Macaca mulatta: one gene and its partners. The protein of the gene in region 1 interacts with the protein of each later gene in a biochemical or structural test. Links are inferred from orthologs where the notes say so. Each region holds a gene or a part of one and is shown in the gene's direction. Other genes may lie near its edges.

The links.
Region 2: the proteins of ERBB4 (region 1) and YAP1 form a complex in vitro, tested with the Homo sapiens proteins (2 studies listed by BioGRID and IntAct, with this or other methods). The link is inferred for Macaca mulatta from reciprocal best matches to the Homo sapiens genes ERBB4 and YAP1.
Region 3: the proteins of ERBB4 (region 1) and PTPN6 form a complex in vitro, tested with the Homo sapiens proteins (2 studies listed by BioGRID, with this or other methods). The link is inferred for Macaca mulatta from reciprocal best matches to the Homo sapiens genes ERBB4 and PTPN6.
Region 4: the proteins of ERBB4 (region 1) and NRG2 form a complex in vitro, tested with the Homo sapiens proteins (2 studies listed by BioGRID). The link is inferred for Macaca mulatta from reciprocal best matches to the Homo sapiens genes ERBB4 and NRG2.
Region 5: the proteins of ERBB4 (region 1) and SHC1 form a complex in vitro, tested with the Homo sapiens proteins (2 studies listed by BioGRID and IntAct, with this or other methods). The link is inferred for Macaca mulatta from reciprocal best matches to the Homo sapiens genes ERBB4 and SHC1.
Region 6: the proteins of ERBB4 (region 1) and NRG1 form a complex in vitro, tested with the Homo sapiens proteins (2 studies listed by BioGRID and IntAct, with this or other methods). The link is inferred for Macaca mulatta from reciprocal best matches to the Homo sapiens genes ERBB4 and NRG1.
Region 7: the proteins of ERBB4 (region 1) and RASA1 form a complex in vitro, tested with the Homo sapiens proteins (2 studies listed by BioGRID and IntAct, with this or other methods). The link is inferred for Macaca mulatta from reciprocal best matches to the Homo sapiens genes ERBB4 and RASA1.

Annotation. Positions count from the first base shown.
Region 1 is NC_133417.1:117,705,181-117,709,258, reverse strand, and holds the start of ERBB4 (receptor tyrosine-protein kinase erbB-4), read left to right. Parts: upstream 1-1,278; 5' UTR 1,279-1,918; coding exon 1,919-2,000; intron 2,001-4,078. UniProt on the Homo sapiens protein: Tyrosine-protein kinase that plays an essential role as cell surface receptor for neuregulins and EGF family members and regulates development of the heart, the central nervous system and the mammary gland, gene transcription, cell proliferation, differentiation, migration and apoptosis.
Region 2 is NC_133419.1:102,977,110-102,981,675, forward strand, and holds the start of YAP1 (transcriptional coactivator YAP1), read left to right. Parts: upstream 1-1,509; 5' UTR 1,510-1,566; coding exon of another isoform or gene 1,567-1,793; coding exon 1,794-2,114; intron 2,115-2,422; exon of another isoform or gene 2,423-2,586; intron 2,587-4,566. Other genes in the region: uncharacterized protein LOC144334584, read right to left, coding at 809-1,509, 1,567-1,795. UniProt on the Homo sapiens protein: Transcriptional regulator with dual roles as a coactivator and corepressor. Critical downstream regulatory target in the Hippo signaling pathway, crucial for organ size control and tumor suppression by restricting proliferation and promoting apoptosis.
Region 3 is NC_133416.1:7,923,461-7,927,333, forward strand, and holds part of PTPN6 (tyrosine-protein phosphatase non-receptor type 6), read left to right. Parts: intron 1-650; exon of another isoform or gene 651-1,251; coding exon of another isoform or gene 1,252-1,259; intron 1,260-1,347; coding exon 1,348-1,470; intron 1,471-1,728; coding exon 1,729-1,923; intron 1,924-3,873. UniProt on the Homo sapiens protein: Tyrosine phosphatase enzyme that plays important roles in controlling immune signaling pathways and fundamental physiological processes such as hematopoiesis.
Region 4 is NC_133411.1:148,702,667-148,706,187, reverse strand, and holds the end of NRG2 (pro-neuregulin-2, membrane-bound isoform), read left to right. Parts: intron 1-1,937; coding exon 1,938-2,703; coding exon of another isoform or gene 2,704-2,793; 3' UTR 2,794-2,828; downstream 2,829-3,521. UniProt on the Homo sapiens protein: Direct ligand for ERBB3 and ERBB4 tyrosine kinase receptors. Concomitantly recruits ERBB1 and ERBB2 coreceptors, resulting in ligand-stimulated tyrosine phosphorylation and activation of the ERBB receptors.
Region 5 is NC_133406.1:112,035,725-112,039,315, forward strand, and holds part of SHC1 (SHC-transforming protein 1), read left to right. Parts: coding exon 1-26; intron 27-205; coding exon 206-332; intron 333-1,538; coding exon 1,539-1,737; intron 1,738-1,824; coding exon 1,825-1,894; intron 1,895-1,976; coding exon 1,977-2,111; intron 2,112-2,273; coding exon 2,274-2,512; coding exon of another isoform or gene 2,513-2,617; exon of another isoform or gene 2,618-2,650; intron 2,651-3,528; exon of another isoform or gene 3,529-3,591. UniProt on the Homo sapiens protein: Signaling adapter that couples activated growth factor receptors to signaling pathways. Participates in a signaling cascade initiated by activated KIT and KITLG/SCF.
Region 6 is NC_133413.1:34,586,926-34,590,560, forward strand, and holds the end of NRG1 (pro-neuregulin-1, membrane-bound isoform), read left to right. Parts: intron 1-1,563; coding exon of another isoform or gene 1,564-1,684; exon of another isoform or gene 1,685-1,705; intron 1,706-2,093; coding exon 2,094-2,748; 3' UTR 2,749-2,815; downstream 2,816-3,635. UniProt on the Homo sapiens protein: Direct ligand for ERBB3 and ERBB4 tyrosine kinase receptors. Concomitantly recruits ERBB1 and ERBB2 coreceptors, resulting in ligand-stimulated tyrosine phosphorylation and activation of the ERBB receptors.
Region 7 is NC_133411.1:93,645,741-93,650,339, forward strand, and holds the start of RASA1 (ras GTPase-activating protein 1), read left to right. Parts: upstream 1-1,615; 5' UTR 1,616-2,182; coding exon 2,183-2,700; exon of another isoform or gene 2,701-2,757; coding exon of another isoform or gene 2,758-2,762; intron 2,763-4,599. UniProt on the Homo sapiens protein: Inhibitory regulator of the Ras-cyclic AMP pathway. Stimulates the GTPase of normal but not oncogenic Ras p21; this stimulation may be further increased in the presence of NCK1.

The DNA of each region.
Region 1 (4,078 bases):
GAAATTCTTAAGGGATGGAGCTATAGATAAGAGAGTGGGAAATGGAGATCCAGGTCTCAAATGAAAGGCAGGGTGGTTTGATTTTTAAGCTCCCCTGATACTTTTTATTTATATATTTGCTGCTTCTAGAAAAACCAAAAAAGGAAAGTGATTCATACATAGAATGCCTGTACAAATAGTAACTAATAACTTACTACCCCCAGGAGATTCTGGTCCTTGCCAGGGTGCGGTTTCAGAGCTGTAAAAGGCAAGGGATATGAACATTGATATGACCCAGTCCCAGAATATTTTAGATTCAGAAAAGGTCAGAGATTTTCATAACTAGCAATGACCTCCGGATTAGGGACCATGAATGTGCAGAGTGAGGACAAGGAAAGGGCCTAAAGCTGGGTCTACTGTAGAAGAAGCAGAATCATTTAAGGTTAATTATGTTCTGATGTGGCCTCCTTAAATACTTTCAGGTTGAGACAATTTCTAGCCCTTTAAGATTAAATCAGTGGCTTTGGACTAGAATCTGCTTAATAAGAATGAACTCCAAAGGTGAAAAAAACATAAAATCTAAAAATCAAAGGGTATGGCTTTATAAATGTGAAATTTTAGTTTGGCTCAATGTCGGTCAGTTTGGAAATGTGGGAATAACCGGAGAGATGGCATAACTGGGGGCGGGAGGCGGGGCGGTGATTATATCCCTACCACCACCTAATCCTCAGGGGCTACTAGTTACTTACTGTGCACACTTTTAAAGTACTTTCTAATTGTGGACCATGAGTGGCAGAGTGCTGCGGGCGGAGGCTTTTTGCTGAAAGCAACGTTGACTTTTCTTTTATTTCTAGGGAAAGTCCTGTCTGTAGATAAGCACCGTGGGACAATGGAGAAAATGCTGACTTGTTTTTTTAAAAAATCTTTTCTGTAAGCGCCCCTCCGATGGTCTGTCCACTCTGCGGGCCAGCTGTCCCAGGCCTCTGCCAGGGAGGGAAGAGGAGTGCTTCAGTGCATGGCTTCGGTGAGCCCTTTAAATCCAGCTTCCCCTGCCCCCACCAAGCTGCTCCCTCTCCCTGACAGGTGTTTTCCCAACTCCGGAGGCCTAGGATTTTGGGGAGTGGCTGAGCCAATGAGATTTCCCTTTGGGGCGGGGGGCGGGGGAGAAGGGCGTGGCTAGTTGGGTCAGAGCATGGGCGGGGTTTGCGCGGCTGAGCAGAGCCTGCCTGGTTGCGTGGAGGGTTGTTTTATTCCCACCGCCCCCCCCACCTTTTTTTTTTCTTTTTTTTTTTTTTTTCTGGAGTCTTATTAATTTCTCTGTGGGCTGCAGCTGGAGACCGCGGAGCGTTGGAAATGACGCTCGGAGCTTTAATTACCGCAGCCGCCGGACAAGTGTGAGGAAAGCTGACAGGAAAAAGAAGGACGGGATCCGGGGAGAAGCGAGAAGCTCCCCCCGCCCCGCTCCCCTCCCCATTTGGACTGGAGGTGCAAGGAAACTGAAGAAGGAGCAGAACACAGCCCGGCTGCGGGGAGAGGCCGGAAACCTACTGCCTCTTTGCAATCAACTTTTTTTGGAAACCTTTCGCCCCCCTTCCTTTTTTATTGTTGACCAACCAGTGAGAGAGAGAGAAAGTGAGGAGGCAGCGAGCAAGCGAAGGCTCACGCGGGGAAATAACTGCACAGTTCGGCCCGGACCGCCACGCGCACACACCGAGCACACTCCAACACACGCACACTCGCCCCCTCTTCGGGCCCCGGCCCTGGACCCGCGGGCGCGGACTAGGTCGCCCGCCCTGGGAGTCGCTACACCGCGCGCGCCGCGCCCGCCCCCCTCGCGCCCCCACGCGCGCCCGGCTGGGGGATCTCCTCCGCGTGCCCGAAAGGGGGATATGCCATTTGGACATGTAATTGTCAGCACGGGATCTGAGACTTCCAAAAAATGAAGCCGGCGACAGGACTTTGGGTCTGGGTGAGCCTTCTCGTGGCGGCGGGGACCGTCCAGCCCAGCGATTCTCAGTCAGGTGGGTTCCTTCTGGCGCTCCGGTCGCCTAACCTGCCGCCGCCGGCGGGGCTGCCTTGAGTGGCTCCCCCGCCCTCTTCACCCATCCCGGGAGGCGTGGAGGGACCGCTCGACCGGGACTTCTTCCCTGGGCTCTCGGTCGCCCCTCTTTCCATTTGAAACTTACCCTGTATGTGTGCCTGTGCTTTATCGTGAAGAAATCACTCTGAGCCCCTCTTTTTTCTCTCCTTAACCCCCTGTTTTTCTTTCCCGAGCGTTTTGTGTGGGAGCCTAAGCGGGATCCCTTCTGGTGGCGCCTGTTGTTCGGGACATGGGAGACCCAAATCCCCAGTCAGAGGAGACTCTCCTGTCCCTGTCTGGTCCCTCGAGGGAGGAACCCTCACCGCCGGGGCCGCGGAGGGCCGGGGTCCTGGGGAGGTGCTGGCTGGGCCTCTCCCGCGCCAAGCCTGAAGGGCGGTGGAGAGTGGCGCTCAGAGACCCGGGCTTTGCACCTGTGTGTGCTGCCGGCGGCCGCTGCGCCCCCAGTCGCCCAAGCCTTGTGGGGTCAGACGCGACTCGTACCCAGCCCGGGCAGCAAGAGTGCAGCGGGCGGGCGCGCCTCGGTCCGGGGTCTGGAGCTCTGGGCCTCTTCGGCCTGCTTCCCGGAGCCCTCGCCCCATTGACTTGAGGGGCGCTTGCTCGCCTGCATGACCTCTTAAAAAAAAAAAAAAAAGGCTTGGCACACTCGAGCCAGAAGCCGGGCCTTCCCGTCGGTTGCCGTGTTTGGCTCCTGGAAGAGTTCTTCCTGTAGTTCAACTTGCTATTGGCCGGAGTCCTTCAAACTTGTCTGTTTACTGCCTGGCCGGGCTGCCGAGCCTGCGGGTCACTGGATCCACCCGAGGCGCAAGCGGCGGCGGCGGGTGCGCGGCCACTGCTTGCTGGAGAGCTCGAGCCCCAGGTACCTGGGCAGGCAAAGGGCTAATTGACCCCGAGAGGCAGCGCGGCGGGGTTGGAGCGCCAAGGCTTGCAGGACTAATGACAGCACCTGCAGTGCAAGGAAGCTCAAAGTTTCTGACACTTGAGTTTCCTGGGGATGAAAGTGGGACGGGAGAGGTCTGAGGAGGACCGGTGTCTGATGCGGCCAAGGGGTGCCTTTTGGAGAGCCAGGGAGATTTCTGAAACCATTCGGGGATGGTGACTGGAGCGTGGGAAGTAGCTTGAGGTGATAAAGCCCCCGGGAGTGGCGATAGGGAGCGCTTTAGGCCCCCGGAGGGTGTCCTTCTGACCTCACCAAGGAAACAGCAAGCTGTAGTTTTCCCGCTCCGCCCCCGCCGCCGCCGCCTCCTTTGCCTAGTAAACAACAAGTTACAATCATCGAGGCTTTCAAAATGACCTTCGAATGGCACATGTGCGGCGTTTTGTGCTGGCTGTTTGCACCCTCCCAATTACTCCGAAATTCTTCACGCATACCAGGTCCCGCGCTCCAGCCACCCCCGGAATCACACCAACACGGACTTGACATTCCAAGCGGCCTCTTAGATACATCTCTTTTTATCTCCCTCCCCACTTCGAGTCCCTTCATATTTTCCCTCAATGGGTTGATTATACACATTGACCCATTCAAAGGCAGTGGCGACCGACATGCAGGCTTAGCCGAGAGGAATTTCTACGAGGCGACCTACTGGGGGCTGGCTGGTTCAGCCTCTGCCGCTGAGGGACCCCGCTCCGAGTCCGCAGCAATTTGGTATTAACTGTGCGGCTCCGGGTTGAGCTATGCCGAAAAGCCCTTTTCAGAATTTCTGCAAGGAATGTAATCCAAATTAGTTCTGCAGCTGTCCTCTTCCTCGTCTCAGGCGACACCAGCTCGCGCCCTCGCTCATCTCTTCTCGTTTCGTTGGGCGAATTGTCAGACCCACAAGTGAGCCCATTTAGAGCGCGAGGATTAGCGTGCCATTGTTCCGTGTGTGACTCTGTACTTGAAATTCTGGGGGCACAAAGGCGAGTCTCACTTGTTCAAAACACAAAGTGATCCAGATGAAAGGGCCGTACAAAGAAAAACTCTCGGGTGCATCCCTGGTATAATTGCAACACGCATACTAA
Region 2 (4,566 bases), on another chromosome or scaffold:
TCTGGCTGGAGGAAGAGATTATGTTTTTGCTACCGGACTTTTTCCTTGCTTAATCCTATTTATACCTCTGTTTCACTAGCATTGTAGATAAAATCATTAAAACAAGAAAGCCAGATTTCCTTAGAATGGGCTAGTGCATTTAAAATTAGACTGACGTTGCACAATCCTATGACTATACTAAAACAAAACAAAACCAAAAAAACCCCACTGAATTGCTTAAATATACAAATATGTACAAATATTACAAAAATTGTATGGTATATGAATTACATCTCAACAAGGATGCTTAAAAAAAAAAACCAGAGTGTATGACTTAAACAACATATTTCCATTGTTTTTAAGTGGCTTCCAATGGGCTCCTTGTACATCAGGTGCCTGGGGTGACCTACTTGCCCATTCATTTCTTATTCAGTCCACATTAACGGAGTCCACCCTTGGGCCAGGCACAGGGATAGCAGGGGTAGGCACCCAGCTCCCTGAGGATGAAAGGCAGGTACAGAGGAATGAATGCTTGTACCTGAAGAAGCACTGATTTTTTTGGGTTGAGGCTTCCAGTGACTATGTTGCAAACTCGAGTACTAAAACAGTTGATGTGATTTCACTATTTAGAAAATGTAGTGTTTTTGTTTCTTTTACTAAGTTACACTGACTCACAGACCTGGTCTCAAAGCTTCAATTACAGTAACCGTTTACCCTTTCAAGTGAGTTTTCGCACACTAACAGATAAGTGAAACAGAATTACAAAATAAAGTTAATGCTGAAAACAATGGACCTTTATTAACATCAGCGCCGGCTCACCGTATCTATTTTAACTCCCATCTATCCTGGCGGCTTTAAGCCCGCACTGGCGCTCCGCTCGGTCAAGCCGGGGTAACGCGGGAGGAGGAGGTGGGTTCGCACATCCTCTCTCCACTTCTTTCGGCCTTCGTCCTTTCGCAAGTCCAGGCGAGCTGGAAGCGCCTTTCCCGAGCACGGGCCGGGAAAAGGAGCCGAGCGGGGCGGAAGGACTTTCTGGGGCCAAGGGCGGCCGCGTTCTCCGCAGAGACCACACTTCGGCCTCGGAATGGACCCAGCGTTTGTGGTTCGCGGCGTAGAACACGGGGCACGCTCCGGGCCCCTGCCGGGCTGAGCGCGGGCGAAGGGCGGACCGGACCAGGGCGAGCGGGTCACGTGCGACCGGGAGAGGCGCGGAGGGCTGGGAGTGTGCAGGAATGTAGCAACTTGCAGCGAAAAGTTTCCCTGCGCTGCCGGCCGGGCCGCGGTGCGGGCGGGCGCGCAGAGGAAGGAAGAGCCGAGAGGAGGCGGGGCCGCGGCGGCGCGGGCGGGCGCTTCTCACAACTTTAGTTTTGGCGTCTGAGGCGAGTTTCTGTCTCAGTCGGGCGCAGCCGCCGCCAGGGAAAAGAAAGGGAGGAAGGAAGGAACAAGAAAAGGAAATAAAAGAGAAAGGGGGAGGAGGGGAAAGGCAACGAGCTGTCCGGCCTCCGTCAAGGGAGTTGGAGGGAAAAAGTTCTCAGGCGCCGCAGGTCCGAGTCCCTCGCAGCCCCTCCCGAGGCGCAGCCGCCAGACCAGTGGAGCCGGGGCGCAGGGCGGGGGCGGAGGCGCCGGGGCGGGGGATGCGGGGCCGCGGCGCAGCCCCCCGGCCCTGAGAGCGAGGAGAGCGTCGCTCCCGCCGCCCAGCACCGCCCGGCCCGCAGCCGTCGCCGCTTCTCCACCTCGGCCTGTGGAGCCGGGGCGTCCGGGCGGAGCCCTCGCCCGCCTGGTTTAGGGGGTGCGCGTCGGGGGAGGCAGAAGCCATGGATCCCGGGCAGCAGCCGCCGCCTCAACCGGCCCCCCAGGGCCAAGGGCAGCCGCCTGCGCAGCCCCCCCAGGGGCAGGGCCCGCCGTCCGGACCCGGGCAGCCAGCACCCGCGGCGACCCAGGCGGCGCCGCAGGCACCCCCCGCCGGGCATCAGATCGTGCACGTCCGCGGGGACTCGGAGACCGACCTGGAGGCGCTCTTCAACGCCGTCATGAACCCCAAGACGGCTAACGTGCCCCAGACCGTGCCTATGAGGCTCCGGAAGCTGCCCGACTCCTTCTTCAAGCCGCCGGAGCCCAAATCCCACTCCCGACAGGTAACCTTGTCGCCCCTCTCCCCGCTTCCCCGTCGGGCGGGCCTCAGACCGGGGGGGCGCTCGGGAGCCGCGGCCGCCAGCTCTGGCCAGGGGAGGGGGTTGCGGGAGCTCTAGCTGGGGTGGGGGTCCCGCGGCGAAGTGGAGGAACTGGAGTCGTCCGCTCGGCCGCGGTGACCAGCTCCCCACTCCTCCCAGAGTCCGGGGCTGAGATTTGTTTTTCCTTTCGGAGTTTCTTTCTGCGGTTGCGGCCCCGGGGGGCGTGCTTTCCCTCCTTCCTTTCTTTCTTCCCGGGGTTCCCGGGAGGTTGGCGGGAGTGGAGGAGGGGTGGGGAGGAAGGAAGGGGGTGGGGGAGAGCCGAGCCTGGGCCGCGGTGGGCTTGCACAATGCGCGCGCCTCCGCGCGCTCCGCACCTTCGCTCCCGCCGGGGCCGGGCCGGGAAAGGGGGAGGGGGGCCTCTGGCATTTGTGTGTGGGTGAGTTGCCAGCGGCGGCCGAGTTTGTGAAGTTGAGCCCTGGGCCCCTTTCCTTTGCGGCCTCTCGGTCCACTTCAGTCTCCTGGGGGAGTCAAATAATTGTTCTGTTGTTTTCCAGTGTTGATTAGAGGTGGGGGTAGAACCGGTCCATTTAGTTTTTTGCTCTTTCTTTCCCTCCCCCCTACCCATTTCCCCTCCCCCTCCGCCTCCCCCTCCCGTAAGCATTTATTTTCCTCGCGGCTTAGGCGATTTCTGAATACAGGTTTCGGGCTTCCCCTGCCCAGACTTTCCTGGAAGTTGTTTATGGAGTTCTTTCACCCCTGCGCTTCCCTTGTGTCTTGGAACTTGGGTCGGCTCGCTCTTATCAAACTTAGTAGGTTGCGTGTTGGTTTCCCGATCGTAGGCTATTATTTACAGTCGGCTGAAAAGCTTTTGAATTAGCCACATCTGTACGTTGCGCAGGAACTGAGTTGCGCTTTACAGTACCGAGGTTTTAACACAAGCCTTTGATAATACACTGCGGGTTGACTCATAGGCCAAGTCCTGCCTAGTTCAACTGTGATTAAAAGTTAATGTTTGGGAAGCGATGACTAATTCTAGGATCGCCATTGCTTTTTAATTCTTATTGCGGATATGAACATGGCTGCTTTTCCACATACACAACGTTCGATTATTTTGCCAGCTTGATTCAGCATAGAAGTGAAACTATTTATAATGAGAGTGTTAACATTCCGATAGGTCCCAGTGGTTTTGTTTAGTGTAGGGTTCTCTCTTTTTCCTTCTTTTCTTTTTTCTTCTTTTTTTTTTTTTAAAGAACTTGCTTCAGGCTAAACTTCAGCATAGGAACTTTGCCCAAAAGTTAATAGGTTTTCCAAATACTGCAATGTAGTTAGCCTACTCGGGCTGTAACTTGAGTGGAAAGAAGAGTTACCGCCCCCACTCCCATCCTCTGTCCTATTTGCAGGCCTGTTGTATATTCTTCTGTCAGAGACCACAGGGTTTTGGAACTCAGAAAAACTCACTTAACCTGATGACAAAAACCCGGGTTAAGGAGGAGGAAGGAAGGAAAAACAATTTAGCTGCTTGCCTAAACAGTTCAATTTGTCAGAGATAGACTTAGGTATGCTTTTTTTCTTACCCCTGGAAGTTGGTTTATGGACTCATTGTAAGTAAATGTGTGTTGGCATGCACCCTGCAGACTACACGGTATTTTTTCAAAGTATACTACACATAGATTGGATCCCCCATTTTGTGACAAAGAGTCACAACTGGAAAGTGTACTTTTTCTTCTAGTAGGTAATTTTTACAAGAATTTATATCCAGCAGTTCTAAAATTCATAAACTATTACAGTTTTGTTTTTAATAAGTTTTTAACTAAGTGTTGCTCATCTGTAAATTGGACTTTTATTTCTGCTAGTGATTTTCTAAATCATACTTATTCTGATGGGACACTCAGAAAGGTCTATCACTTTAAGGCATTAATGACTCTACTGAGTCCTTCCGGTTTCCTTACCTTTGTGAATCTAGGAAATTCTAACTTTTTGATAATCAAACTCTTAATTCTAATTAGACACATTTTAAAAACTATGCAAGATTGTGAATAGTAGAATGTAGGTTGTGAATACTATTGTTCACAACACAAACTGGTGACTATAAGTTGTTTTATATACATCCATTTTTCTGTCTTGAAAACTATGTTACAAACGAGAAAACAGGCATATGGAAGTTAACATACTTGTTCAGTGTCACACTAGCCAGCTTAGACTGGAACTCAGATCTTTGGGGTCTGAATGCAGAATTTTTTCTGCTTGTATAGAGTTGTGAATGTCTGTGAGTTCTTAAGTTATAATTGGACTGATAACCTCATTATCTTCTACATACAAATATATAGTTGAGTTTTTTTCATCTTGTTCATTGTAGATGGCTTTTAAGAACATTTGGGCAGTTCAAATTTGTTGCTTTCATTAAAAATTGTGTAAT
Region 3 (3,873 bases), on another chromosome or scaffold:
TGTCCTTTAGCCACCCAGTTTTCCTCCCTAGGGGAAGCCATCAATATGTGTTTCTTATGTATCCCCTGTTGAGCTTCTTTTCCTCATTTTGGTTTGGCGGTGTTGGCATTTGTATTTGGAATTACAGGCAGGGAGCATCATATACCTTAGTGTTTAGGGCCTCTAAGATCAACCAGCCCTGAGAAAATCAGCCATGGCGAGGACCTTGGACCCCAGGCCCCCGGAGATAGGCCCCCTGGTGGGAGTCCTGGGGCGGGGCAGAGGCCTAGGGACAAGAATCAGAAAAGACCCAAGTTTGACAGGGCTGCTCAGGGTCATGCTGTCCATCCCTCTGCCACAGTGGCATGGACAAAACGCATATGTTGGTTACAGAAGTGCACCCTTCTCTCTTGCAAGCACTGGCAAGGTCTTAACTATCAGTCTCCCACTCCCATGGCAGCCCCTTTGCACAAGGAGGCTCTTAATCTCTGTTCTTTGAAGCCCTGAGGGCTGGTGTATAGGAGTTCAAAGCATTGGCTTTGGAACCGGCCTGTCTGGGTTTGAATGCTGGCACTGCAGCTGACTCACTGAGGGACTCAGGCAATGCCTTACCCTTCCTGAGCCTCAGGTTCCTTGTCTGTGAGATGATAAAGATAGCCCCTATTTCATAGGGCTGTGGTGAGAAATCAATCAGACGAGGCATGTGAACGCCATTATAGCACAGCACCCGGCATCCAGCAGGACTCACTCGCTGACAGCTGTCACCGCCATCATTGTCATTAGCGTGGGCCAGGGAGGGCTGTGTAAAAGCAGCTGGTGGAGGAGGAAGAGATGCCGTGTGAGCGTCTCGGTTCACATGCATGAAGTATGATCTGGGCCTGGAGTGTGCAGTGCACACGTGTGTCCTTACTGCATGTGTTGTCACATGTGTGCAATGCCATGCTCCTAAGCCTTTGATTGCAGACGTGTGGGAAGTGGGCCCCGTCCCCACCCCCAGTGCCACCGTGCTCTGCTTCTCTTCCCTTGCTCTGCTCTAAAACGAGAAGTGCAAGTGAGTTCCCCCAAGGGGTCGGCCGCGCCTCTTCCTGTCCCCGCCCTGCCGGCCGCCCCAGGCCAGTGGAGTGGCAGCCCCAGAACTGGGACCACTAGGGGTGGTGAAGCGGCCTGGCACTGGGAGCTGCATTTGAGGCTTAGTCCCTGAGTTCTCCGCCTGCCCAGACTAGCTGCACCTCCTCATTCCCTGCGCCCCCTTCCTCTCCGGAAGCCCCCAGGATGGTGAGGTAAGGGCCTGCCACCCACGGTAGACAGGAGGCAAGGGTGCCTGGTGCCCACGGGACCCCTCCTCACTGCCCTGCCTGGGCCGCCCAGGTGGTTTCACCGAGACCTCAGTGGGCTGGATGCAGAGACCCTGCTCAAGGGCCGAGGTGTCCATGGCAGCTTCCTGGCTCGGCCCAGTCGCAAGAACCAGGGTGACTTCTCACTCTCTGTCAGGTAGGTGCCCCCACCCCCGGCGTTTTGGCCACTGTCTTGTGCCATCCAGGCCCTGAACCACTCACTCCTGGTTCTCCGTGGCAGTGCCGACTCCCCGACCCCCACGTCCCGTCTGTGCCCTCGCGCCCCACCCCCGCCCTCCCCACCCCTGTCTGTGCCCACCCATGCCCATGTGTGCCCCCACCCAGGACCTCAGCCGATCCCTGCCCTCCTGCTTTACTCCTGCACCGACTGGCCTCACCGCCTGGTGCCCTGCAGGGTGGGGGATCAGGTGACCCATATTCGGATCCAGAACTCAGGGGATTTCTATGACCTGTATGGAGGGGAGAAGTTCGCGACGCTGACAGAGCTGGTGGAGTACTACACTCAGCAGCAGGGCGTCCTGCAAGACCGCGACGGCACCATCATCCACCTCAAGTACCCGCTGAACTGCTCCGATCCCACCAGTGAGAGGTGAGGCCTCTGTACCCCCGCCACTCGCAAGCAGGGGTGAGTCGGCTCCCGCCCTGAGCGGCCAGGGAGACAGGGAGCCTGGCACCCGGCACTGCCTGCCCTCCATCCCCTCCCCTCCCCGCACCGGCTGGGGCTCTCAGTGTCCCTCCTTCATGCTGTCCTGTGGCCTGGTGTCTCAGAGCCTAACCTACCACCCTTTCCACCTAACCCCGAGGAAGCCAAAGAAAGCTGCCTTGCCCTATACCAGGGGCCCTGGCCGCTGCAGCCCAGGTCCCACTAGACACAGGGAGGCCACTGCTGGTGGCCAGCATATCGTGCCGGCCAGCTCTGTTGTTAGAAAGCTCTTCTTCCTCTGGAAGCCAGCCTGCCCTCCTCCGTCTGCCTCTCACCCCAGTGCATGTCAGGACAGTGAGGAGCTGACACTGCGGATGAGGATGGGGATGAACGGTTGCCAGGACGCTTGACACCTTGTCCCAGCCGCCCAGTGGGGATGGGTCTGTCCTGTGGGGTCAAATACAGAGATCACTGAAAGCAGGATGTGAAGTGTTCACCTGTGTAAAGGGTCTCACACTGTCTCAGGCACAGAATAATACTCCAGGCATTTCCTTCCTGTGCCCTCCTCGACTCCTCCTGTGGTCTTCCAAAGGCATGGATGGGGGGCTGGGGAGCTTTGAACACTCCTCAGGACACCATAGCTCCTTCCAGCAGCCACATCTCAATGCCAGATCCTCTTAAAGGGCAGCGGAATAACGCTAGGGGGTTTTCACACGGACCCCTGGGCCAAGCCGACTTGCCCTTGCCCTGCATTCGTGGATCGATTGTTGAAATGATTGGGAAACTTGCTTCTGCCAGCTTGCAGCCTTTCTTAGATTCGGGCCTCCAAACTGCCTCAATATTTTTGGTCAGGTCACTGATTGAAACTTAGAGCTGGATTCGGTCGCGGTACAGCCCTGTGGCCCACCTGGGAGGCCTCCTTTCCTGGATCTGCCTCCTTCAAGGCCTTCCTCATCTGAGCCTCACATGGCTGGCTCTATGTCTGCCCCCTGCCCTTCCTCTTCCCCACTGCAACACTCAGGGGGCTTCTGCCAGCGAGACCCTCTAAAGCTCATGTCCTCTGTTTCTCCTTGCCTCAAGCTAGGAGGAGGAGGACGGGCTGACCAGTGCCTAGAGTTGGAAGAGAGGAGCAGGGCCCCAGGAGGCCCCTGCAGAGGAGGCTGAGGCCTGGGTTCAAAGAGAAGAGAGAGAAGGAAGGGAGGGCAGTGCTGGGGCAGGAGGTTAAGACCGGGGAAGCCACACAGAAGGCCCTTTTGGGTGACCCATCCCAGGAGCCAGTGTCACCCCCGAACCTGGGAGTGTGTGAGAGACTTTCTCCCAGGTTCTGCTGTGTCCCCTGCCTTGTCTGTGGCACCTCCTTCTCTGCGGGAATTTGCATCTGTCCCTCGGTGGCTCTGCGCTTCCTGTGGTCAGCCTGACATTTGCATGGAGACTTCCTCATCCTGGGGCCCAAGGGAAGGGGCTCAGCCCCCTCCCTGCTGCCTGGGGTCCTAGCCTGTCCCCAGGTGGTGGGCTGAAGTGGCCTAATGGGGTATGGAGGCTCTGGGGGGTCTCTCAGCTGGAGTCACCTCTGGGCAGGGGTGAGATGGGTTGGGACAGACTGGTCCTCCCCTCTTCCCCCCATCCCTGCGGTTGGAAAATTTGCCCGCCCTCCCCTTGTCCCTGGGCTGAGGAAACCTCACAACCTCACTTCTCACTCTCTCCCCAGAAGGAGTTTTGTGTTTTTTCCATCACGTGGTTTCCTGTGGGGCAGGGCATTGTGGGGCTACAGTTTCCTCCTGGGAAAGGGGTGTGCTTTGGGGAAAGGGCTTAGTTCTGCTTTCTGCCCCGACAGCCCCTTTGAATCCCTTTGAACCCTTTTGAACCCTGGGCTCCCCTTCAGTGACATCATCCAGG
Region 4 (3,521 bases), on another chromosome or scaffold:
GCTCAGCCCTGAGTGGTCCTCAGTAAGTGGGGTCTGTAGGAGGCGAGCAGGGAAAGATGAGTAGTACTAAAAACTCCAGACCAGGGAGTGGGGAGAGGAGCAGATATTCCCCTGCTCTCAACTCAGCCTACTCCATGCCAGGCCCTGTGCTGGGCAGGCCTGCCTGGAAATCCAGAAATGGCCTGCCAGGTTCCTGCTCCTGAGGAGCTCCTAGTCACAGAAACAAACCAAGGAAGCTTACAGCAGCCTATGGAAAGTGCTAAACATGACACCACAGCAGGGCAGAGAGACCCAGTCTGACTGTAGGCTCTCGGAAGCAGCCAGGTTTTCCAAGCCCAGCTCCACCTGTGTGATTTGGGGCAGCCTGATCACCTCTGTACCTTGTTCCCTCAGCTGTAGAACAGGGAGAACAATAGCTACTATGCATGGTTCAAGTGAAGGCCACCTGAGATCATGTGCACAGAGCTCTTTGCCTCATCCCTGGGATAGAGCTCATGCTCACTAGGTGTAGCTATTTATCAATCATAACCACAGCAATGAGACTCCTTAATGGGTGGTAGGAAGGGGAGAGGCAGGAGAGCAGGAAGAAAGCATTCCAGGCACCGGGAACAACTTGAGCTGTTCCAACAGAGGCACTTAAGAATAGGGCTGATGAGTGAGGTGCCTGGAACAGGGTGGGCTGTAGGGAGCAGAGGAGCTGGGCCTGAACAGGCAAGCTGAGGCCAGAGAGACTGACCCTGGGTGGGTAAACAGGAAGACCTGCTTCAGCAGAGCTGTGACATTACAAGATTGCTCTGGGAACTGCATAGAGTGAAGGAGGAGAGACCCTGGGGTGGACCCAGGTGACCACATGTGAACAGCTGGGCCCAGGATGGGGTGGAGACTGTGCTTCCAGAGAAGGGAATGGGTAGGGCTTGGTGGTTAATTAGATGTGCCAGTGGGAGCGGGAAGAGGGAAGAGTCAGGCAATGCAGAAAAAATCATAATGGGGACTCCAGGCTGGTTCCAGAGAGCAGTGAGGTGCCCAGCTGTGCAGTTTGGAAGGGAAGCATGGAGGTGGGTGGCCCCCGTCCTGAGGTGACAACGGTGGGGCAGAAGGCTGATGGGCTTACAAGGGGGATGTGAGCACAAAAAGGGACAGGTACCTGGGATCCAGCCTGGAAGATATTAGCAAGGCCAGACTTCTGAAGGAGCTGGTGGTGTGGGGAGGGGTCTGTAGCCACAAGCAGAGACACCTCAGTGGGATTTTGGTACTCCCCGAAGCAGGTTTTGACTTCACTATAAGAAGGAGTATTTCCCTCACTGGAGCCATCAGGGCATGGAAGGAATTGCCCTTGTGGGGCAGTGAGTCCAGGTCACAGGGGTATCTGAATGGGGACTAGTGGCTTCTGGAATTGGGCAGTATGAGTCCTGGTTCCTGCCTAGCCTCAAGTCACATCCCACCTCTGCCACTTCTTGGCTGTGTAAATCCTGAATAAGTTACTTAAATGTTCTGAGTGTTAGTTTCCTGTGTGTAGAATGGGACTGGCGGAAGGGTCTTACAGAGCTGCCGTACTAAACCAGATGGAACATGTACTATACCCCAGTGTGAGCCTTACCCCCTTGACGGTGAGCATTCCCACAGCAAGTGACCATTCATGGAAGCTCACCCGGGTCAGGCACAAGGGCTAACACATCCCCCGATACATCATCCCAACAGAGCTATGGAATGAACACCATGGTTACGCCCGCGTAACAGATAAGGAAACCGAGGCTCGGAGAGGTTTAGGAAATTGCATAAGGCCACTGACGGTTGCCGCCGTCATTCTTGCAGGCGGGGTCTCGGGCAAGGTTAAGGCAAGTCTATGTCCGCCCCTCCCACCCTACCCCACCCCCAACTCCCCCAACCCCTCCCCCGCCCGGCCTGGCCCTGGCCCATGCCTCTGCCTCTCCCCGCAGGTACGTGTCGGCCCTGACCACGCCCGCGCGCCTCTCGCCCGTGGACTTCCACTACTCGCTGGCCACGCAGGTGCCGACTTTCGAGATCACGTCCCCCAACTCGGCGCACGCCGTGTCGCTGCCGCCGGCCGCGCCCATCAGTTACCGCCTGGCGGAGCAGCAGCCGTTACTGCGGCACCCGGCGCCCCCCGGCCCGGGACCCGGGCCCGGGCCCGGAGCAGACATGCAGCGCAGCTACGACAGCTACTACTACCCCGCGGCGGGGCCCGGACCGCGGCGCGGGACCTGCGCGCTCGGCGGCAGCCTGGGCAGCCTGCCCGCCAGCCCCTTCCGCATCCCCGAGGACGACGAGTACGAGACCACGCAGGAGTGCGCGCCCCCGCCGCCGCGGCCGCGCGCGCGCGGCGCGTCCCGCAGGACGTCGGCGGGGCCCCGGCGCTGGCGCCGCTCACGCCTCAACGGGCTGGCGGCGCAGCGCGCAAGAGCGGCGCGGGACTCGCTGTCGCTGAGCAGCGGCTCGGGGGGAGGCTCGGCCTCGGCGTCGGACGACGACGCGGACGACGCGGACGGGGCGCTGGCAGCCGAGAGCACGCCTTTCCTGGGCCTGCGCGCGGCGCACGACGCGCTGCGCTCGGACTCGCCGCCACTGTGCCCGGCGGCCGACAGTAGGACTTACTACTCCCTGGACAGCCACAGCACGCGGGCCAGCAGCAGACACAGCCGCGGGCCGCCCCCGCGGGCCAAGCAGGACTCGGCGCCACTCTAGGGCCCCGCCGCGCGCACCTCCGCCTCGCCCGCCCCACTGTCTTTAAGGAGACCAGAGACCGCCTACTGGAGAGAAAGGAGGAAAAAATAAATAAAAATATTTTTATTTTCTATAAAAGGAAAAAAGTATAACAAAATGTTTTATTTTCATTTTAGCAAAAATTGTCTTATAATACTAGCTAACGGCAAAGACGTTTTTATAGGGAAACTATTTATATGTAACATCCTGATTTACAGCTTCGGAAAAAAAAAGAAACAACAACAAAAAAAAAGAGAGATGGGCCAATTTTTTGACTCTTTAATAGAAACCTATTTTGTGGTGCCTTTTGCTGTACGCTCATCTGGGGCTCCGGGGGAGAGGTCTTGGTTGCGGGGTGCTGGGAGTGACAGCAGGGAAAGAAGAGGCTGCGGGGTTCTGGTGGGGGCGAGGGTGGGGGGCCGTGAGGGGTTGGCCCTGAGGAAGAACTGAGGATAGAAGTAGCTTTGCTCTCAGGCAAGAGCTGGAGTTCCCGACCCCTGGGAGGAGAGGGCCAGGACCCTAGGCTTGGAGCTGGAGCTGGGGTAACTTCCAGGGGGAGATAAAGACACAGCTACCGGAATGGGGAAGCCCTGGCTACTCACAGCTGTTAGAGGAGGAGGGCAGAGAAAGGTCTCCCCAAGAGCCTGGGCCCAGGGAGGTGGCAGCTCTGCCAGGGGCCCAATGTTGGCGGCTCCTGTCCCCCACAGCCTCCAGGACGCCCCTCCGTCCTCTGCAGCACCTTTGTTTACAGGTCGTCTTTTCTATTTTACACCTGCATGTCCTTTGCATTTCAGATTCTT
Region 5 (3,591 bases), on another chromosome or scaffold:
TGCCAAAGACCCTGTGAATCAGAGAGGTGAGGCATGGTGGGGAGCACTGGGTGGGTCTGGCTGTTTGAGGTGAGTAGGACCTGGGGTCATTTGTACCCACTCTAAGTAGATCTAAGTGGGGGTTCCTGCCGAGGAAGATGAGGGCCCCTGTCTGTGCCTCCTCCCAGTGGGCTCAACTCACTGACAGCCTCTGCTGTGCCCTCAGCCTGCCACATTCTGGAGTGTCCCGAAGGGCTTGCCCAGGATGTCATCAGCACCATTGGCCAGGCCTTTGAGTTGCGCTTCAAACAATACCTCAGGAACCCACCCAAACTGGTCACCCCTCATGACAGGTGAGCAAGTGGGGAGAGTGTGGAGCAGCTTTTGAGACCAAGATTGGGAAAGGAGGGCTGTTCTTCCCACACTTGAGCTGAGAGGTTCAGGGAGGGAATAACCTGTGTGCCTCTGCTTCCCACTTCCTGCTATTCTTCTGTTTCCTGTGGCCCAGGAGGAAAGGCTTTTGAGGCCCTGCTTGCCGCAGGGCCAGCTTTTCTTGTTTGCTCATGGTGGAGCTGTAGTCCAGGGCCTCCAAGTTACATCTCTCTCTGGCTAGGTGGGATTTTCTATTCCCATTCCTCTTTCTTGCTCATTTCTCTGCTTGGCATTCTGTGTTTTCCTGCCTCTAGAAGCCATCAAGACTTTGGGTTTGGGAGGATATCTCTTTTCCCTGAGATTACAATCTTTCCCACCTCAGGCCTTGAGGGATAAGCAGTGGAGCCAGTAGGGATTGGAGGTAAAATCTGGAGCTGGAGCGCCTCCCTGCTGACGCTGACACACACAGACAGACAGACAGACACACACACACACACACACACACACACACACCCCACCCCCCCCCCCCATAGTGCTTCTGGAGCTGGAGCGCCTCCCACAGAGATCAAGAGCAAAAGCATTACTTACTTATTTTGAGACAGAGCCTTGCTCTGTAGCCCAGGCTGGAGTTCAGTGGTGCAATCACAGCTCAATGTAGCCTTCATACCCTGGGCTTGAGTGATCCTCCCACCTTAGCCTCCTGAGTAGATGGGACCACAGGTGCATGCCACCACACGTGGCTGAGTAGTAGTATTTTTATTTTGGTAGAGATAAGGTCTTGCTATGTTGCCCTGGCTGGTCTTGAACTCCTAGGCTCAAACAGCCCTCCCTCCTTGGCCTCTAAAAGTGTTGGGATTATAGGCGTGAGCCATTGCACCTGGCCAAGGGGGACGAGCTTTAAAGTCAAACCTGAATTTAAATCTGAGCTTAGCCGCCTTTTAGTTGTGAGACCTTGGGCAAATCTTTTCACCTCTGACCCTCATTTTCCTCATATGTAAAATTGGGGAAGGAAACAATACCTACCTTATGGGGTTGCCAGGAGAATGAAATGATTATGTATATAAAACACTCAGCCTCAGGCCTAATCCACAGTAAATACCCAATAGATGGCTGCTGTTCTATTCCCTCCTCCCCTCCTCCTGCCCACCACACATTTACAGCTACACCTTCACTGTCCTGTCCCTCAGGATGGCTGGCTTTGATGGCTCAGCGTGGGATGAGGAGGAGGAAGAGCCACCTGACCATCAGTACTATAATGACTTCCCGGGGAAGGAACCCCCCCTGGGGGGGGTGGTAGACATGAGGCTTCGGGAAGGAGCTGCTCCAGGGGCTGCTCGATCCACTGCACCCAGTGCCCAGACCCCTAGCCACTTGGGAGCTACACTGGTAAGTTGCTTGGATGGAGGTGGGCTGGGCCTAGGGTGGGAGTGGTTGTTTAGGGCTTCTGGTCTCACCTTATTTTTATCCCTGCAGCCTGTAGGACAGCCTGTTGGGGGAGATCCAGAAGTCCGAAAACAGATGCCACCTCCACCACCCTGTCCAGGTATGAAGGGAGCTGAGATGGACAGAGCCAGGGAGTGCTGGAGGCAGGGCTGGGGATCACTGTAGAACCTCTCTTTCCTCAGCAGGCAGAGAGCTCTTTGACGATCCCTCCTATGTCAACGTCCAGAACCTAGACAAGGTCCGGCAAGCAGTGGGTGGTGCTGGGCTCCCCAATCCTGCTGTCAATGGCAGTGCACCCCGTGACCTGTTTGATATGAGTGAGTGCTTGTCTTTCCTCTCTGCATCTCCACCTTTCTACTTGGTTCTGGCCCTTCTCCTGCCTATCTGCTCTTTCCTTCCTGACTTCCCTTCCCTGAAGTCTGGGTCTTGGGTGTGTGTTGTGCCTGCTACTTTCCCTCACCCTCTGTCTACACTTCCAGAGCCCTTTGAAGATGCTCTTCGGGTGCCTCCACCTCCCCAGTCAGTGTCCATGGCTGAGCAGCTCCGAGGGGAGCCCTGGTTCCATGGGAAGCTGAGTCGGCGGGAGGCTGAGGCACTGCTGCAGCTCAACGGGGACTTCCTGGTGCGGGAGAGCACGACCACACCTGGCCAGTATGTGCTCACTGGCTTGCAGAGTGGGCAGCCCAAGCATCTGCTACTGGTGGACCCTGAGGGTGTGGTGAGTGTGGCAGAGGTGTGGGTGAGGGGTGGCAGAAAGGAAGGTACAGTACCCTACAGTGTATCCCTGTTCCTTCCCTCATTGCTTTCTAGACATTCCCGCTAGGCAGCTCTCTGTGGGCCTCTCTTGCTCTTTAGGGTGTCTGGCATCTTCCTCCAGGGGCTCATCCCTTAGCCTGAACTGTGTTCTTTATAGTCCTGGCACTATAGGGCTGGGCGTGGTGGCCCACACCTGTAATCCCAGCACTTTGGGAAGCTGAGGCAGGTGAATCACCTGAGGTCAGGAGTTTGAGACCAGCCTGACCAATATGGTGAAACCCCATCTCTGCTAAAAATATAAAAATAAGCTGGGTGTGGTGGTGGGCACCTGTAGTCCCAACTACTCAGGAGGTTGAGGCAGGAGAATTGCTTGAACCCAGGAGGCAGAGGTTGCAATGAGCTGAGATCGCACCACTGCACTCCAGCCTGGGTGACAGAGTGAGATTGTCTAAAAAAACAAAACAAAACAAATACAGTCCTGGCCCGTCCTCAAATCCCCAAGCCTTATCAGAGCTAGAAGGCAGTCATCTCATCTGTGCCCATTTTTTTTTTTTTTTTTTGAGACGGAGTCTCGCTCTGTCGCCCAGGCTGGAGTGCAGTGGCCGGATCTCAGCTCACTGCAAGCTCCGCCTCCCGGGTTCACGCCATTCTCCTGCCTCAGCCTCCCGAGTAGCTGGGACTACAGGCGCCCACAACCACGCCCGGCTAATTTTTTTTTTTTTTTTTTTTTTTTTTTTTTTTTTTTGAGACGGAGTCTCGCTCTGTCGCCCGGGCTGGAGTGCAGTGGCGCGATCTCGGCTCACTGCAAGCTCCGCCTCCCGGGTTGACGCCATTCTCCTGCCTCAGCCTCCCGAGTAGCTGGGACTACAGGCGCCCGCCGCCTCGCCCGGCTAATTTTTTGCATTTTTAGTAGAGACAGGGTTTCACCGTGGTCTCGATCTCCTGACCTTGTGATCCGCCCGCCTCAGCCTCCCAAAGTGCTGGGATTACAGGCGTGAGCCACCGCGCCCGGCCATCTGTGCCCATTTTTACAAATAAGGA
Region 6 (3,635 bases), on another chromosome or scaffold:
TGTCAAATCCATACTTATGTGGTAGTTCCATGGGTAGAGATGACTTTGATAGACTCTTTCCACATAAAGACTGGGGAGTACTGACAACAAAAATTAACAGACTGGGTGTGATGGTTCACGCCTGTAATCCCAGCACTTTGGGAGGCTGAGGTGGGTGGATCACGAGGTCAGGAGATCAAGACCATCCTGGCCAACATGGTGAAACCCCGTCTCTACTAAAAATACAAAAATTAGCTGGGCGTGGCAGTGCTCACCCAGCTGTAGTCCCAGCTACTCGGGAGGCTGAGGCAGGAGAATTGCTTGAACCCAGGAGGCGGAGGCTGCAGTGAGCTGAGATGGCGCTACTGTACTTCAGCCTAGGCAACAAAGCAAGAAAAATAAAACAACAACAAAAACAAACAAACAAAAATTTTGGGCTTGCAGGCCTATTGGTTACTTCTTCAAGGGCCTTTCCCCAAAAATGATATTTTAGAACGTTATGGAATTTATGAAATCAGAGGTTTCCCTGCAACTAATCTATGAAAGGCAGGGTTTAAACTGTTTTAAAACTTTAGTCTTAAATTCATATAATTTTTTTTATGTATTAAGGAAGTCTATCCATTCTATTTCAGTCTATTTTTGAAACATGAAAAGGAAGTTAGAGATGAAATCATTCCTCATCACTACAAGTGATATTTATCTTTAAATGTTGACATCTCCCTGCTGTGCTTGGCTTCCAGATAATACCTAGGACTACAAAATATTCCTTTAACCTAGAGATTATGGAGAGAAAAGATGAATCACTTTTATATGTTGGTTGAATTTGAATTAGCATTTCTCAGAGAGCTTAATTTAAGTACCCCCAAAGCCAAAAGTCTGAAGACTCAAGGCCCACGTATTTCAATTTCTCAGGCACGTTCCCGGTTTAGAGGCAGTTAGTTCTCATATCTGTATCACTGCAAATCATGGAGAAGCAGCGAGGTTCATGGGTTTTCTGTTCCTGTTAGCGAGAGTTCAGATGATGGCACTCCGTGTCATCTCAGGTCATGTCAAATTAGACTCTGTGAATGCCAGTGTGAAGAAAAGAGTCATTTAGTCTTGTGTGCTGGTAGCATTTTTTATCAAAAGCTGAGAAATGTGACTCTGAATAAGCCACGTCTTCCTCAGTGCCAAAAGTCAGGACTTCTTATATTGGGGGAAGAAAGCATGGTATGGTGAAAACAGTGTGCTTGGTGGCCTGATGGCAAGAGTCACTGAGCATTATCAGACATAACATGATAGAAGGTAACATGGTACAGCCAACCCTTGAGGCATCATGAAAGAGATTAACCAAAGACTGATATAGTTGTGGGTTTTGGAAGAGAGATAGACCAAAGATTGGACATAACCTCATTGTGGTAACTGTGAAGCCAACATTAGGCTCTCTCAGGCTTACCTTTGACTGTGTTTGTTGGACACTGGGATGGATAGTTCCAAATTGAATGTTAACTAGTTGCATTTCATGGAAAATATGAAAAGCACACAAATGTATGACACTGTTGTCAGGAATAAATCTAAGTTACTATGCTCTTTTTTTTTCATAAGACATAACCTTATAGCTGAGCTAAGGAGAAACAAGGCACACAGATCCAAATGCATGCAGATCCAGCTATCAGCAACTCATCTTAGATCTTCTTCCATTCCCCATTTGGGCTTCATTCTCTAAGACCCCTTGGCCTTTAGGAAGGTATAGTATTTAAGTAATACTTCTTTCCCTTCCGAATCCCTGAGCCTTGGTCCTTATATAAGCTGAGAGGTTTCCAGGACCTAATGCCTTCTTATCTTGGCTCATATGCCTTTATTTATAATTGTGATGAGATTGAAAATCCCAAAAGCTTTGATGAGCTAGGCAATTTAGCTGATCTTTGCATGCACTCCTGTGAGGAAACTCTTGGCTACCTAATTTTCGATTCCAAGGGTGTGGAATGTCCTAGCGTAAATAATTGAGCAGTCTACAATGAATAGAAATTCTCTGTTCTCTGATGATATACTATTGTGAACTCTGTCCCCTTACCTTCCCTGCTATGTGCCTCTTATTGCACCACACTTATGCAGGGTATTCTGTGCTCACACAGGTATGTGTCAGCCATGACCACCCCGGCTCGTATGTCACCTGTAGATTTCCACACGCCAAGCTCCCCCAAATCACCCCCTTCGGAAATGTCTCCACCCGTGTCCAGCATGACGGTGTCCATGCCTTCCATGGCGGTCAGCCCCTTCGTGGAAGAAGAGAGACCTCTACTTCTCGTGACACCACCAAGGCTGCGGGAGAAGAAGTTTGACCATCACCCTCAGCAGTTCAGCTCCTTCCATCACAACCCCGCGCATGACAGTAACAGCCTCCCCCCTAGCCCCTTGAGGATAGTGGAGGATGAGGAGTATGAAACGACCCAGGAGTACGAGCCAGCCCAAGAGCCTGTTAAGAAACTCGCCAATAGCCGGCGGGCCAAAAGAACCAAGCCCAATGGCCACATTGCTAACAGATTGGAAGTGGACGGCAACACAAGCTCCCAGAGCAGTAACTCAGAGAGCGAAACAGAAGATGAAAGAGTAGGTGAAGATACACCTTTCCTGGGCATACAGAACCCCCTGGCAGCCAGTCTTGAGGCAACACCTGCCTTCCGCCTGGCTGACAGCAGGACTAACCCAGCAGGCCGCTTCTCGACACAGGAAGAAATCCAGGCCAGGCTGTCTAGTGTAATTGCTAACCAAGACCCTATTGCTGTATAAAACCTAAATAAACACATAGATTCACCTGTAAAACTTTATTTTATATAATAAAGTATTCCACCTTAAATTAAACAATTTATTTTATTTTAGCAGTTCTGCAAATAGAAAACAGGAAAAAAAAACTTTTATAAATTAAATATATGTATGTAAAAAATGTGTTATGTGCCATATGTAGCAATTTTTTACAGTATTTCAAAACGAGAAAGATATCAATGGTGCCTTTATGTTATGTTATGTCGAGAGCAAGTTTTGTACAGTTACAGTGATTGCTTTTCCACAGTATTTCAGCAAAACCTCTCATAGATTCAGTTTTTGCTGGCTTCTTGTGCATTGCATTATGATGTTGACTGGATGTATGATTTGCAAGACTTGCAACTGTCCCTCTGTTTGCTTGTAGTAGCACCCGATCAGTATGTCTTGGGCACATCCATCCAGATACGCCTCACTTGTGTATGAAGTTTTCTTTGCTTTCAGAATATGAAATGAGTTGTGTCTACTCTGCCAGCCAAAGGTTTGCCTCATTGGGCTCTGAGATAATAGTAGATCCAACAGCATGCTACTATTAAATACAGCAAGAAACCGCATTAAGTAATGTTAAATATTAGGAAGAAAGTAATACTGTGATTAAAAAAAAACTATATTATTAATCAGAAGACAGCTTGCTCTTACTAAAAGGAGCTCTCATTTACTTTATTTGAATTTTTTTTTCTCTTGATAAAAAGCAACAGTTTTAGGGATAGCTTAGAAAATGGGTTCTGGCTTGCTATCAGGGTTAATCTAACACCTTATGAGAGGACTCAATGTCACTTTCTCTCTGGGGGAATGATCCAGCAGCTTATCTAGTTGACGATCAAACCATGGCTGATAAAGGTGCAATCATTTCTGAC
Region 7 (4,599 bases), on another chromosome or scaffold:
AATGAATGACATCTATTATATCTTTCAGAACCTTTTTTAGGTATTGCATACCTCCTTCTTGATTAGTATACTATACATTAATATAGTGGTTCTCAAACTTAAGTGGGCAAACAATCACTTGGATGGCTTGTTAAAATGGATTGCTGCACAGTTTCTGATTCAGAAGGTCTGAGGTGGCATTACTGAATTCCTAGGATGTTGCTGGCCTTAATTCACTCGAGAACTCTAGCTCCTGTGACTGGTTCATCTTCCTTCTCCCAAGTAGCACATTGCCTAAGACATAAGCATAATGGAGGTCCCAGGACTACTCCTAATCAAGTTGGATCGTTGTCATCGACTAGGTAAATAGGCCTACGCAAATTTACAAAGAAAATGCATTGCCTGTATCTTGCCACCTCTTTCAGTGGTCTTTTCTCTTGTTCCTTGGTTTCTATCACAACCACTTGCCATCCGGAGTGTTGGCTTGATCATCCTTAGCAGAGAAAATACTGATCTCAAAGATCAATATCCAATGGTATTCAACGTGGGATTACTACTGGGAGAATTTAAAATAACAATACCGTTAATTTCAAACCATGGGAAGCTCCCTGTACATGAATGCATGTAATAGTTTGTATACATTTTAGTGTAGAAGACAAAATAACACTCTTCTCCTTAATTGTATTAAAAATGAGTTTTCAGTTTATTGCTACTTTAGAAACGATATATAATTGTAACTGGCATTCTGAGACATTCTTGACATTTGACTTGTTGAAGGTGCTTGCATTGCGGATCACACCCTGCAGTCTTTTGCACACAGAGGACAAAAGTGCATTGATTAGTGTTTTCTGTGGCACCCCCTCCTCTTCATCAGTATACAACAGACTTATAATAGCATAGGTAAGTATATGAGACAGTTGATAAAGAAAAACCTATGCAAATACTAGTAGAAATCTTACTTCATAACCACTATTTCTACCAAAATTCCCCACCCTTCTCATATGGTGCCCTTTATTTCGTTTCGGAGTTTCAGAATCTATTCTATCTGTGTGTGTGTGAGATAGTCATGGTGATTTATAGCATGCAACGAAAAAGACAACATTTAGTACTGCCCCGATCTTCAAAGCTACCTGACTCCTGCATGGTCTCTGCGCTGCTGGCTAAGGCTGTTTCTTCCACCGGTCAGGAAGTACGGAACTAGTTTCTAGGCATTTTCCTTTCCCTTTCCCCCTTCTTCCTCTCCGCCGCCTCCCGGTCCCCCTCTCGTCTCTCCGGCTTTCACAGCGCCGAGCACCCGCGTGCTCAGGTACCCTTCCCTCTTCTCCCGCCCATCAAACAAAGCCCCGGGAGACAGGCGCGCGCCGCCGGCCACGCCAACAGGAGATGCGGCCGCGCCGCCGCACGCTAGGAACCGGAGTAGGACAGCAAGCGCGACCACGCACCGCGCGTCCCCGCCGCTTCCTTCCCTCTGGACTCTTCCTTTTCCTCCAGGCCCGGCCCCCCGCCCCCCGCCCCCCGCTCCCCGCTCCCCGTTCCGGGAACGCGCCTGCGCACAAGCTGCCCTCTCCCTCCTCCGCCCTTCCTTCCCTCCGTCCCTCCTCCCCTGCCCCGCCTTCCTTTCTCTCTCTACGGTTTCAGTCACTGAGAGCTCCAGGTAGTGAGCAGTTCAGTCGATTTCCTTGTTACCCCGCCCCCCTTTCTCTTGTCCCCACCCCTCTCATCTGCCTGGTGGAGGATGAAGCGGCTGCAGTGGCCCCAGCCTCAGCAGCGGCACCGGCGGTGGCTGCGGTGTGGGTGGCCGGAACTGGGGTGGTGAAGAAGCGGTGGTGGCTGCTGAAGGAGCGATAGCCACCTAAGCCTCTTTCCCTGTGCTTCCTTTCCTCTTTAGTGCAGCCAGGAAGTTTTCGCTTCTGTACATGTGTTTGTGTGCGTGAGTGTGGGTGTGTGCCGTGAGGTTTGGGTGGCGTTTGTGCAGGCGTTGGGTTTTTTGCCCACTTCGCTTCCCGTAACCCAAGCAGCTCCGGAGCCTGGGCTGTGGCCCTAGGAGGGGGCGCGGCGGCGGGCTCTCTCCTTTTGTTGTTGTTTCCTCCGCCTGGGGAGCTGAAGGGGAGACGCGTCTGGGTGGGGCGGCTCGGAGCCCGGGCCTGGTGGCCCCCGGGGCTCCCGGGCGGGCAGGGTAGGGCAGAGTAGAGCGGGCTTCAACATGATGGCGGCCGAGGCCGGCAGTGAGGAGGGCGGCCCGGTAACAGCCGGAGCTGGAGGAGGCGGCGCGGCAGCGGGCTCCAGTGCCTATCCCGCAGTGTGTCGGGTGAAGATACCCGCGGCCCTGCCTGTGGCAGCCGCCCCCTATCCTGGGCTGGTGGAGACTGGAGTGGCTGGAACTCTGGGTGGCGGAGCCGCTTTGGGGTCAGGGTTCCTAGGAGCCGGGTCTATGACAGGGGCATTGGGGGGAGCCGGACTGACAGGGGGAGGTACTGCTGCTGGCGTGGCCGGTGCTGCTGTCGCTGGACCTAGTGGAGACATGGCTCTCACCAAGCTGCCCACTTCGTTGCCTGCTGAGACTCTTGGGCCAGGCGGCGGTTTTCCCCCTCTGCCCCCTCCCCCTTACCTGCCCCCTTTGGGGGCGGGCCTGGGGACAGTGGACGAAGGTGACTCTCTGGATGGACCAGAATACGAGGAGGAAGAGGTGGCCATACCATTGACCGCTCCTCCAACTAACCAGTAAGTTAAGACTGCTGTTCAGGAATTTGGGCAGCTGGCTCCAGAAAAGAAGTGGAAATGGGGTAAACCATACTTTGTCTTTTTCATCTGTGATTTGTTTAGGAAAAGTTTTTGAAGTTTCAGGTTTCTTTGATCACTTATCTTCCTTACAGGCATACTACCTGGCGTCTTCCTACATTTATTGCTCTTCTGGGAAGGTGTAAAGTTTTTAAGATGGAAAGTATGAGAAAATGTGTATCTGATGAGAACCGGATATGGTTCTGTCCCTTCCAAGTTGAAGTGGTGTCCCAGGATTTAGTCAAACTGCGGCTACCAAGGCAGTCATAGTGTATATTAACCTGTGTGTGTTACTTGATAAAGCTAGATGATTAGTGAGAAATTTTGAATACAAATATTTAAACGAGTATTGTATTAATAATTTGAAAAATGTATTGGTTAGAATGTATTTATTTCAGTGCACATCCCAGCTTCTGATTAGAGAAAGCATAGTGATGTTTAGAAGAGTCTGTGGGTCACTTAATGAGAACTTGGGTCAGAGAGAAAGGAAAGGAATACTGTGAATTATAGGTGTGATTAAGCGCCTTTATTTCAACAATGTATCTTCTTCCCTAGGCTTCCCACTTAGCTTTTATAGTCGAGACATTGGAAGTACAACAGTGAGACAAAACAAAATTAACAGAGCTTCCCTTAAACATTTTTTGTTGGTGGCCAGTATAGTATTCTATTTGAAAATTAAGTAGAATATACAGGACAATGACTTTTTTTTTTAATGTAAGTTAATACCTCCTCACTTGTCTTAATTGAACTTAGGTGTTTATTCATAAAGGTGGACCTTGATGAAAATGTTGCGATGGGAAGTGGTATTAGGCAAAACTTGTTATAGGTTTCTCGTATAACTCTTAATTGACCCTTAGAATTTTAACAACCTTGGTGAATATCAGGAAAGAAAGATTTGGTTCATATGTTGACAGTCATTCTGGACAATTCAGAGGTTTTTTTTTTTCCTCTCTCCATTGCCCCCAAGAGATGGAGTCTAGCTCTGTTGCCCAGGCTGCAGTGTAGTGGCATGGTCTTGGCTCACTGCAACCTCTGCCTCCCGGGTTCAAGAGATTCTCCTGCCTCAGCCTCCCTAGTAGCTGGGATTACAGGTGCATGCCACCATGCCTGGCTAATTTTTGTATTTTTCATAGAGACGAAGTTTCGCCATATGGCCAAACTGGTATGTTAACTCCTGACCTCAGGTGGTCGGCTGGCCTCAGCCTCCCGAACTGCCGGGATTACAGGTGTGAGCCACTGTGCCCGGCCTTTTTTTTTTTGGATAAGCTTCTTTGGAGCATTTAGAAAGGACTGAAACTAGGAAAAGATTCTGTTACCCTCATCTATTTTTGACTTAAGGCTGCATCTTTTGATACTTAAAGTGGAAAAGTAAAGTTAGTCATATTTATGCCAGCCATGTTATAGGGATGTAGTGTTCCACCTTTTATATTCCTCAATAAAGGGTTCAAGTCTTGCGTCAGAGTTTTGTTCAAATTTTACACGACAATTTATTTCATGTCATTGTAATGCAGAGTCCCTGGGAGTGTTCAGGGAGTGTTAAAAATTCCAATTTTGCCGGTCGCGGTGGCTCACGCCTGTAATCCCAGCACTTCGGGAGGCCTAGGCAGGTGGATCACCCGAAGTCGGGAGTTTGAGACCAGCCTGACCAAGATGGAGAAACCTTCTCTCTACTAAAAATACAAAATTAGTCTGGTGTGGTGGCAGGTGCCTGTAATCCCAGCTTCTCAGGAGACTGAGGCAGGAGAATCGCTTGAACCCTGGAGGCGGAGGTTGCAGTGAGCCGAGACCACGCCATTGAACTCCAGCCTGGGCAATAAGAGTGTAACTCTGTCTCAAACAAAC